Arabidopsis thaliana: one gene and its partner. The protein of the gene in region 2 interacts with the protein of the main gene of each other region in a pairwise test. Each region holds a gene or a part of one and is shown on either strand. Other genes may lie near its edges. The genes, in order: NDL1 and AT4G29780.

The links.
Region 1: the proteins of AT4G29780 (region 2) and NDL1 interact in a two-hybrid assay, tested with the Arabidopsis thaliana proteins (one large-scale study listed by BioGRID).

The regions. Positions count from the first base shown.
Region 1 is NC_003076.8:22,955,767-22,961,501, reverse strand, and holds NDL1 (N-MYC downregulated-like 1), read right to left. Parts: upstream 3,874-5,735; 5' UTR 3,517-3,873; coding exon 3,457-3,516; intron 2,994-3,456; exon of another isoform or gene 2,696-2,993; coding exon of another isoform or gene 2,693-2,695; intron 2,612-2,692; coding exon 2,512-2,611; intron 2,438-2,511; coding exon 2,340-2,437; intron 2,250-2,339; coding exon 2,161-2,249; intron 2,077-2,160; coding exon 2,016-2,076; intron 1,925-2,015; coding exon 1,760-1,924; intron 1,668-1,759; coding exon 1,611-1,667; intron 1,514-1,610; coding exon 1,458-1,513; intron 1,347-1,457; coding exon 1,211-1,346; intron 1,115-1,210; coding exon 896-1,114; 3' UTR 586-895; downstream 1-585. Other genes in the region: SERAT1;1 (serine acetyltransferase 1;1), read left to right, coding at 1-4. UniProt on the Arabidopsis thaliana protein: Interacts with the heterotrimeric G protein beta subunit GB1 and plays an significant role in GB1-dependent regulation of lateral root formation. Involved in a signaling pathway that modulates root auxin transport and auxin gradients.
Region 2 is NC_003075.7:14,577,324-14,582,584, forward strand, and holds AT4G29780 (nuclease), read left to right. Parts: upstream 1-2,239; 5' UTR 2,240-2,535; coding exon 2,536-4,158; 3' UTR 4,159-4,734; downstream 4,735-5,261. Other genes in the region: AT4G29770 (target of trans acting-siR480/255 protein), read left to right, coding at 1-142.

The DNA of each region.
Region 1 (5,735 bases), on a different chromosome or scaffold from region 2:
ATAAAGTTGTTGTTATAATTGTTTCTGTGGTTTTGAAAGTGAAAAACTTTCTGACCATTCGCTTATAGAGAGGTGCTGAGGTAAGTGAGCTTTGTTGTATTTGTAATTTACAAAACATCTTACGATGTTCAATACAAGAAATGGCCTTAATTTGATGTTATTATTCAATCATTAGTTATCCAAGAGTTTATACACTTCTTCTACTTTGTATTCGGGTTTGGCTCGGATTTACACTTGTCTGCATCCATTTTACGGGCTTGACAAACATCGAGGAGCATTGAACTTGTTCAGACTAAGTGAAGCATTCTTCGCCTTTACCCCGGTTCATGAGGGACTATGTTTTCGTCAACCGCAACTAATCCTTATGCGTATCTTATATCAGTATATAACTTACGGCTTCTGCAAAGAAGGATTGGTCTCCATTTCCATTTACAATTCAATTCAGACTAAAAAGTTTCAATCTGATGATCCAAATAGTTCAGGATCAAGACTGTTAAACCATTAAATATCAATATTAAGCAAAAACCAGATTCTAACTTGGTGAAATCAATGTGCTTGTAAGGCCAATTAGAGAACCAAAAACAAAATGCAAAATGAATTTTATTACTTGCTTCTGCAGAGTTCGTCACAAAACAATTGTTACAATGTCACAAGAACAGAACATTTTACATATGTATAAAAAAATGAAATAATAAACAACATTTTGTGGCATCTTAACAAGAGAACTGTCGTGTCGGCTGACTACAAAAGAATGTGTTATATGATGGTGGCTTGAATTTTTCTTCTTCGTCTTCTTCTTCTCAAATCTCCCTAGTATTGTTCTATATCTACAAAAGCCCTAAGATTTCTTCTCCTCAGCAAAATTAGAACCAATGAATCAGTAGTGCACACACACTTAAGCCGCCGAAATTCTGGTTTTGATAGGCTTAAGCTTTAATCCCATGCTTTCAGGAGAGAGAAGCTCAGGTGAAATACAAGAAGGGCTAAGTGGACTTCTAGGGCTCTCGGAGAAAAGAGATGGTCTGTATAATCCGTAACCCATCAAGAAATATTCCATTGGGATCAACATTGCATGTGGTTGCTCCTCTGTTACCATTGAACCACAAGCCTGAACCTGATAATATTTCCAAGAAAACATCTATTAGTAGCAAGAAAACCAAACATGTGTTTATATGTAAAGTACAAAGGATGAGGATTCGTTTTCTCAAACCTCAACCAAAGCACAGTATCCTCTATCCAAAGTTGCTGCCATGTGAACAGCTTCTGAGTAGAAAGGAGATTGATCTCCGATGAAGATAAGTGTCCTGCATTTTAGTTTCTTCAATCCACTTGAGATGTCAGGTCTCCTGCAAGAGCAAAGGTTTGGTTTGCATAAAGTTAAAGAAAAGTCAATATTTGACACCATGAATGAATGAATGCTTCTAAGGTAAAGGATTTCGAGGTGTTTGTTGTGTTACCGGTCAATGGCGTCAAGAAATCGCAAAACGTTTATGCCTTGTCTTTCATCAAGCAGCTGAGACAATCACCAAAAGTGCAAGGTGTGAATCACTGATACAGTAAAATCAATCTATTGATGAAACAGAAAAACAACAGAAGAGATAAACACTGACTCTTCTGCAAGCTTGTGCTATATCTGACTCTGGAATCTCAACGTTACCACGGACTTCCTGTAGCAAGCAGTTGCAACCGGTTTAAATAAGAGAAGTCTGGAAATGCAACAAGTGCAGAGAGAGAGCAATGGTAACTGCAGTGAACACACCTTACTAAAATATCTCTGAAGCAAAAATTCCTTTACCACTCCACACATTCCGTAATAATATAACAAGTTTGTGATAACCTTGTTGTAAAACCATTCAGACCAAGACGGCGCCTTGCATAACGGTGAGACAAGAATCAAACCAAGAACCCGTTCTCTATGTTTCATCTGAAAAGTTTTAAAACATAGAAGAGATGATAAACACAGTATTCTTCTGAAGCAATGGGCAATGAGAAGAGAAAAATAAATAGGAACATACCGCGAATAAGGTGAGGATATAAGCACCTGCAGTCACTCCCATACACATCACAACACCAAGGCTGAACAAAAAGCTTATACATTGTTACCCGAAAAACAAAAGTTGAGAACTTCAATAAGCCAAAAATAAGGGATTCCATCGTTACCCGAAAAAGTTGAGAACTTCAAGGATCTGATCTGCCAAGTTTTCAGCAGAAGGGACTGAATCATTAGGACAAATTGGAGCAGCTCCTAACTGCAAGAAAACAGAGAAGTCATGTGAGTAAGTAATCACGTCAAGCAAAGCATACGGCAAGTTAAAAAAAGAGAAACTAAAATATTGGACCTCATGCCCAGGTGGACTGATATGGTAAATGCAGAAGTTATGAAGCAGCAATGAAGCTGCTTCAGGACAGAAGAATAACCCTTGGAAGCATGACATATCTGAAGAAGAAACAACAAAAACATTAATAAATTTAGCCATTACATTAGTGCCTATAGAGATTCTTTAGCCTTACGGTTTAGGGCTAAATCAGGATAAGTAATCAATGCTGGCTTTTCTCTGTCTCCATAGACAATGACAGACACAACACCACTAGCAGTTTTAACACGATGCTCCTGAACACAAGAAACCAACAAGTTATAACAAAAGTAACGGATCATGAAACCAACAGAAAAAAACTAAACTTTTAACCATACCATTTGTCTACTCCATATTCATAAAACATGTGTTTGTAAACAATGAATCTATTTTCTCGTTAGTAAATGTATACTAAAGATAGGAATATGACAACTGACTTTAGGTGGAAAAGAAATGCTTTGATTAACACACACACAAAAAAGAAAACATCTCTGTTAAAGCTTTTCCATGTGCAGCTTTACTACTTTTAAGGGCAAAAAAACAAAACCAAAAACTTGATCATCAACAACCAAAGAGAAATGGCCTAATTCTAATCATTGTGGTTTTTTTTTAATAAAAAGGGAATGACAGTTTAAAAAAGATGAGCTAATATGAGTCTTAATGAGATAATAAAGAAGCATTAGTCTTATTAAACAAAAGGTTAATGGTAGACAAAAACAGCTGGCATTTTCTTTTCTTTTTTCTATAAGATAAAAAAATCAAAAGGCAATAAGACAAAGAATAAGGAATACAAAATAATAATAAGAAGAAGATATCTTTGAATAGAGAGAAGAAGAAGATCCCAAGAATAATCCCATCTGGAAATGAATCATAATAATAAAAGAAGTTTCACAAATCCACAAGCAAAGAATTTCTCCAAGAACATTTGATTCAAACAAAAGATGAGTCTTTTTTTTACAAAAACAAATGAATCTAACAATGCCCACATGTCTGTTCTTCCCCAAATCAACAGAAAGATTAGATTTAAGCAAGTTTAAGATAAACCCAGAAACAAAAATCAAAGCTTTATTCGGATCCGAGTTCAAAGGTTAAAGAATGAAACCTTGCCACCAAGATAGATTGTTCCAACGTCGACGGAGACGGCGCCGTAAGAGTCCGTCATTGGCAACAAAAGCTCTTCCGCTTAGCCGTCACCGTCGCCGTCGTTGTTTTAAGAACGCCGGGATAACAAGAGCTTCTTCTCTTTTCTTCTTCTTCTTCTCCCAACCTCTAGATTGTTTTTTGGCTTTTCTTTAGCTTATATACAAAGCGATGCCTTTTCTCTCTCCTCTCTCTTAAGACCTCTCTGGAAAAAGAAACGTTTTTTTTTCGTTTTCCTTTTTTTCTTCTCTTTCGTTTTACTCTCTCTATAAATTTTGCGGTGATTTCTCCATAGACGCCGGTAGTCGTAACATGACACGCGAACGGTCAAAAAACTTAAAATAAGAAACATTTTTAATTTGATTTATTTATAGAAACTTATTTTTGATAAATATTATTAACCAGCTCGAATTTCACCAATAACAGTCGAATACTAATTCGGAAAAATTGCTGTAAATAAATTGGATAATTGTATAAATGTAAACAAATATTAAATGTTGATAATTGGATAAGTAAGGGAGGTGCGAAGTTTTGGTTAACAACAAAATTAACATTAAGCAAACCGAATATAAATTTTTAGAGACTGTTTAGTTTTATTATTAAAAAAAAAAAGAGAAACCAAATTTTCTAAAAATACTATTACATATAAAAAATTATTTTTATGTAATAATATTAAGAACATCAATATTTAATAAACAATTGTATATTTATACTATTCGCAATTTTTTCACTTTGAGTTGGAAAAAATATATCTTAGTAGAAAATTAGAAATGGACTAATCTTAAACCATCAGATAGGCTTTCAAACATATTCCTATCATAAGAAACATGATGAGTAACACCACTATCTATGATCCATGTATTTTGTGATAACACTTGTCTAGAGGACGTTAGAGAACATAGTAACCATAAAGTCGAAGGTGAGAAAGAGATATCATTGAAAGCAAAACTTTGAAGTGACCAAATCTGCTGAGTTAGCTGATAAGACCTTGGCAAATTCGTAATGTGAAATCTAGTATCCAAGTCTTTCCAGATCTCTGCAGCATCATTGAAACGAAGTATACTCTTATAGATCTGCTTTGTAACAGAATTAAGGATCCTAGATTTAACCATACTGTTGCATCGTGACCACACTCTAAAGCTAGGATCAGATTCAGGAGGTCTTGGTAAAGTTCCATCAACAAAAGCAATCTTATTCTTAACGTTCAAAGAAACAAACATCGCAATCTTCCAAGAAGAGAAATTAGATCCATCAAGTACCTCAGAAACAAGTGTATTCCCAGGACTCACCATTTGAGAGCGCGAATGGCGAATAATGAGCATCCGAGAAGTCGAACTGTGGTAAAGGATAGATCGATGGTTTTGAATTGAAATTTTGTTGAAACGGATTCGAAATTGGTGGAATCGGTGGAATCGGTGAAGCTTGAACACGATCTGGAGTTTTCTCAGCTGAAGTTTTGCTCGATCTTCTAGTACGACGCCGCAATTTCTCTACGGAAACCATCGCAAGATCAACGAAGCTCTAAACAACTGAAATTTTCCAGAAAACGTAGAAAATTGAAGAAACAAAGAATCAACGAGTTTGGAAGATCCAAGAGCTCGAAGATACTCAGAGTTTAGGTTGAATCGGATGAATCTTCGAGATCCATCACTCTGATACCATAATAGTTGATGAACGAATTCAGAGAAATGAAGAAGATGAGAAAAATTTGTTATTCTTCTTAATTGTTCTGTTACATGAAACACTCTTTATATGTAGAGTGTTCCGGTTTAGTAACCGGTTTACATTGTACCAAACAACAATACAATAACCGAATTTATGGTTAATATCTTAAGTTAGACCTATTTCAAAACAAGCCTAATTTTCACAATAGTCAATTTTTTGTTGTTGAATATTTGGCCGAGAACTAGACTTCAATAATGGGGAAGAATAACTAAAATCGGTTCTTTCTCCTCTCCCAAAGTCAACTAGATTCACCAAGAATAACTAACTTTGGTTAATGATTACATGTTCTTAAAGTTATGGATCTTTTGGGAAAAATGGACTATTTGGCAAAAAGAGTGGCAAAAAGAGTGTGAACATAAAAAATACAAATGGGGCGTTCCGAGAATCGAACTCGGGACCTCTCGCACCCAAAGCGAGAATCATACCACTAGACCAAACGCCCTCATTTGATATTTCGTTAATTAGATAAATAATACCTAATAATACAAACTTGAATTGGTCTTGCATTTGGGCCGT
Region 2 (5,261 bases):
ATGCTACAAGAAGAAGACTTCATTTGTCAAAGTGTCTACGAGAAGTATGATTCTCCCGCTTAATGGTGACGACGAGTCTCAGGTCACAGAGCCAGCATGTCTACTTGTTGACTTCTGTATCCCACGTTTTTCTATCAACTAACCAAGTGAGCTGAGATCTTGGTAAGTATCTGGAGAAGTTTATGCTAGTTTGTCGTTCCTATATTAAGAATGTTTTATCAGACTTATATTTTATGTTTAAGAAGTGAAGTATCTTGAAAACCGTATGCTTGTTGTGGAACTCAGTTTGTGGTCTGAAATTAAGATTTGTTTTATGAGACTTTTATCTGTGTTTTAAGAAGTTGATCGCTACTACTTTCTAAAGATATATTTAGAATCTATCTGTTGAATGTGACACCAATTGTGAGGATTAGTATTTTACTATTTTAAAAGGGCAGGAGCATATTGAAGACCAAAAATTTGTTGACTATTGTAAACTGGCTAGTGGCTAATAGTCAACTGATATTGTGGCTATGTCAACGGTCAACGTGACGATTGGAACAGACAAAAGGCATGGTTCACTCCAAGCCCAAGTCACCGATTTATTTATTTATACCCAACTCAATTACCATACATAACTCAAAAGAGACATATGCCATTGCCGACTAGAAAAAAAAACGACTCTAAACTAAAAAGATAGAATTTCGTTTTTCTTGTATAGGTAGACTTTTATTCATCTTCACAACAACCAAATTTGGCTGCAAAGTATTTATAACGTTTAATTTGTTACGTTGTACTGCTGCGGTACAAATTTGAAGATTCTAAGAATGTCTTTTCATGATGCTGTTGAAACACGGATTAATGTTGAAGCTTTATTTTAATTGACATAAGAGTTTTCATGATATGCTACTACTACTACTACTAGTAGGAGGACAAAATGTAAATGTGTTAGATTCTCTTTTACAAATAAGGAAATAACAAATTTATGCTTATCCAGACTTATCCAAAAGCCAAAAATATCTACGCAATAGATAGTACTAATTTTGTGTATAATAAACATGAGATCTTTGGACAAGTAACTTCTTAAGACATAAATACACTATTTTGCATAAACAAGAAACTTGGCTTCCGTTTTCTTCTCATGAAAAGCTTATTTGCTTGCACAGCTCAGCTCAGAAGTCAGAATCAGAACTCGTAAGATACATCCCTCTCGAAGAGCCTACCATCTTTATCGCGTTACAACAAAATTACCAAAATCTGCCACTTCCAAGAAACTTCTGAGATCCTCTTCTGGAAACGTGTTTTTTCCTCAAAAGTAACAACAAAATAAGAAAGACACGAAAGAGCCTCATTATTTATTTAAACATATTAAGAATATTCCTATTGAAGACAAAGGCATACAAAGGCACCAACCATGCCCCCTTACCGCGTAAATCTATAAAAAAAACATACAAAATCAAATATAAACAACTAATAAGAATATTATTTTGGACTCGACGATTAAATGTTTTTAATTATTGTATTGTGTTGGGTTTTTTTTTTTTTTTTTTTTCTTTTTTAACTTTTACGCCAGAAATTCTACAATCCCTTGGAAGTTATTTTTACTTATAACTTCTTAGTCCAAAACATGATAAACGAAATTAACGTTCTCTCCAACGGCTAATTAAATAACCATTAAAAGTTTGAATTAACTACTTCAAATTTTAAATGTGTAGTTGGAAAAAATAATCTGAAAATGGATTGGTAAGTTCCTAAATAATCGACCAATTCTCTTCTTACTAAAACAATAAGCTAGAACAATTTTTTATAGACCAATTCTTTTTTTATTTTAATGAATCTCAATATAGTCAATACTCATACATAAAAAACAGAAAAATATAACCTAGTCACATCTATATAAAATAGAGCCAGTTTTTTTTTTTTTTTTTTTATAATCATAAGATAATAATAAGACTAGTAAACCAATTTCCTTTACTCATCAAATGTCATAGAAAAGACTAATAAATTAAACTCACAAGGATTTAATGCCAAATCTTCTAGTTGATATATATCTAAATCCAGTATTACTAAATTAGTTTGTACTTGCACTATGCATATCGAATCTAATATATATAAGGCTTAATAAAACATGTGTTTCTTTTTGTCTTTTATCAAAAACAAGATTTACGCGGTGCAATCTCAATAAAACAGTAACGAGTAAACGCTTTATCTAATCAAAAATAATAATAAAATAATCTGCAAAAAAGAAAGTCAAGTCACCGTCAAACCCATCCCGCTTAGCTTACCGCGTTCACACCTTCACGCGCTTCCTTCGTCCTTTGCGTCTCTCTCTATTTTTTTACAAACACAGACAAATAAACCTTTTTCATATATATATATCGTCTGAAACCAAAACCAAAACCATAAAACTCAAAAATCTTTGGTCTTCAAACTTCAAACACTTGAGAAAAAAGCTTTTGATTTCACATCTTAATCTAACAAGTCAAACACTTTTCAAACCACAAAATTCGTCAAAGCTCTGAAACAAATAAACATTTTTTAATTTCTCCCTTTTTAATGGAAATCTCTTCTTTCCCATTTCCATACCTACAAGACGACGAGTGTTCCCATTTCCTTGGTCTATTTCAAGACATGGACTCTTCTCCTTCTACTTTCGGATTAGAAGGTTTTAATAGCAACGACAATAATACTAATCAAAAGAAACGCCCAAGAAAAGACGACGAAGGCGGTGGTGGTGGCGGCGGAGGAACAGAAGTTCTAGGAGCTGTTAATGGTAATAATAAGGCTGCTTTTGGAGATATACTCGCGACGCTTCTGTTGTTAGACGAGGAAGCTAAACAGCAACAAGAACAGTGGGATTTTGAATTTATTAAAGAGAAGTCTTTACTTGAAGCTAATCATAAGAAGAAAGTGAAAACAATGGATGGTTATTACAATCAAATGCAAGATCATTACTCTGCAGCTGGTGAAACCGATGGTTCGCGTTCAAAACGCGCACGGAAAACCGCGGTTGCGGCTGTGGTTTCCGCGGTAGCTTCCGGGGCGGACACAACCGGTTTAGCTGCTCCGGTTCCGACCGCGGATATCGCTAGCGGTTCCGGGTCAGGACCGAGTCATAGGAGGTTATGGGTTAAAGAACGAACCACGGACTGGTGGGACAGAGTAAGCCGGCCTGATTTTCCAGAAGACGAGTTTCGGCGAGAGTTCCGTATGAGCAAATCGACGTTTAACCTAATATGCGAGGAGCTAGATACGACGGTGACGAAGAAAAACACGATGTTAAGAGACGCGATTCCAGCTCCAAAACGCGTAGGCGTTTGCGTTTGGCGTTTGGCGACAGGAGCTCCGCTTCGCCACGTGTCGGAGCGTTTCGGTCTGGGAATCTCAACTTGCCACAAACTAGTCATCGAAGTCTGCCGCGCGATCTACGACGTTCTCATGCCCAAGTATCTCCTCTGGCCGTCGGATTCAGAGATAAACTCAACGAAAGCCAAATTCGAATCGGTCCACAAAATACCAAACGTCGTCGGATCAATCTACACCACACATATTCCGATCATCGCTCCGAAAGTCCACGTGGCGGCGTATTTTAACAAGAGACACACGGAGAGGAATCAGAAGACGTCGTACTCGATAACAGTACAAGGAGTGGTCAACGCCGACGGGATCTTCACCGACGTTTGTATCGGAAACCCAGGATCTCTCACCGACGATCAGATCCTGGAGAAATCTTCGCTTTCACGGCAAAGAGCGGCGCGTGGGATGTTACGTGACAGCTGGATAGTTGGAAACTCTGGGTTTCCGTTGACTGATTATCTTCTTGTACCGTACACGAGACAGAATCTGACGTGGACGCAGCACGCGTTTAACGAGAGTATCGGAGAGATTCAGGGGATTGCGACGGCTGCGTTTGAGAGGCTCAAAGGACGGTGGGCTTGTTTGCAGAAACGGACGGAGGTGAAGCTTCAGGATCTGCCGTACGTGCTTGGAGCTTGTTGTGTGTTGCATAACATTTGTGAGATGAGGAAGGAGGAGATGTTGCCGGAGTTGAAGTTTGAGGTTTTTGATGATGTGGCGGTGCCGGAGAATAATATCCGATCTGCTAGTGCGGTTAATACGAGGGATCATATCTCTCACAATCTCTTGCATCGTGGACTTGCCGGGACAAGAACTCTATAGGCTCTGTTTTTCACCTTTTCTTATTTTGAAACTGATTTTTTATTGCAAATTCTTTTTCCAAATTAGGAATAAAAACATTTTAGGGATTGGTTGGATACAGAAAGAATAGTTGAATTGAGAGTAGAAGTGGCTGATGATATTGTTTGTGTTACTTATTAGCATTGTGTAATCTTTAGTTCATGTATTTTCTATACAAATTGAATCTGAAACCTCTTAAGTATAAGCTTCTTCTCTTTCGATTTTTCACAAAATTGGTCGACTAGAAAAAGAAGAAGCAATTCCACTTTTATTACAAGCTCAGGCTCAGACAGAAGTACAAGTGTACAACCATGAATAAATGGAAGTTGTACTTAATCTGTTTCGTTTGCAGGATCTTCCTTATCTATTGATGTGTTGAGCTCTTTGAGAAGGAATGCAAATTTGGAAGCATGTTTTCCTTTGTCATTCATTATTTGTGGGCTAAATGATACAAAGAGGAAAGCCATATGAACATGTTATTTACTGTCACATGGCGCACACAGAGGAAAAGCCATATGAAATACAACATTTGAATATGAAACTTGTTGGAACTTTTTTGACAAAACTTTTCCGGTGACTTTCCGGCCAAATTCCGGCCAAACGGCTGAACGGAATTGTAGGGTCATTAGTGCATTGGAAAGTTAGTAAAGAGTACTACAAAATGGTATACACATACGTCAAAAATGAAGTTGTATTGAATGAGAAATAAAGGTGTAAAGTGGGACACTTGGGCCAAACCGGACCGAACCGAACCAGGCTGCGGGTTGTCGGGACGTCCCGTCGTCGGCTCAAGGGCTTTCAGACTTGCGAACCGTCATACTTGTGAGTTATTGAGTTTGCTGAGTTGAATCTTATGGAAATATTCTCAGGATGGTCTCAAAATATTCTCAAGATAGTTTCAAAATATGTCATGTTTATCCTGAGAATGTTCTGCAAAATCTTATCTACTTCTACTATATAAAGAGATTCAACCTCTCATTATTTCTAAAACTCTCAAACACAAAACAGTCTAAATTCTAAAATCTCTCCTCTCTCTTGCTTTTTAAAAGTAATTTCTTAGTTTACTTTCACATAAACATAGTCAT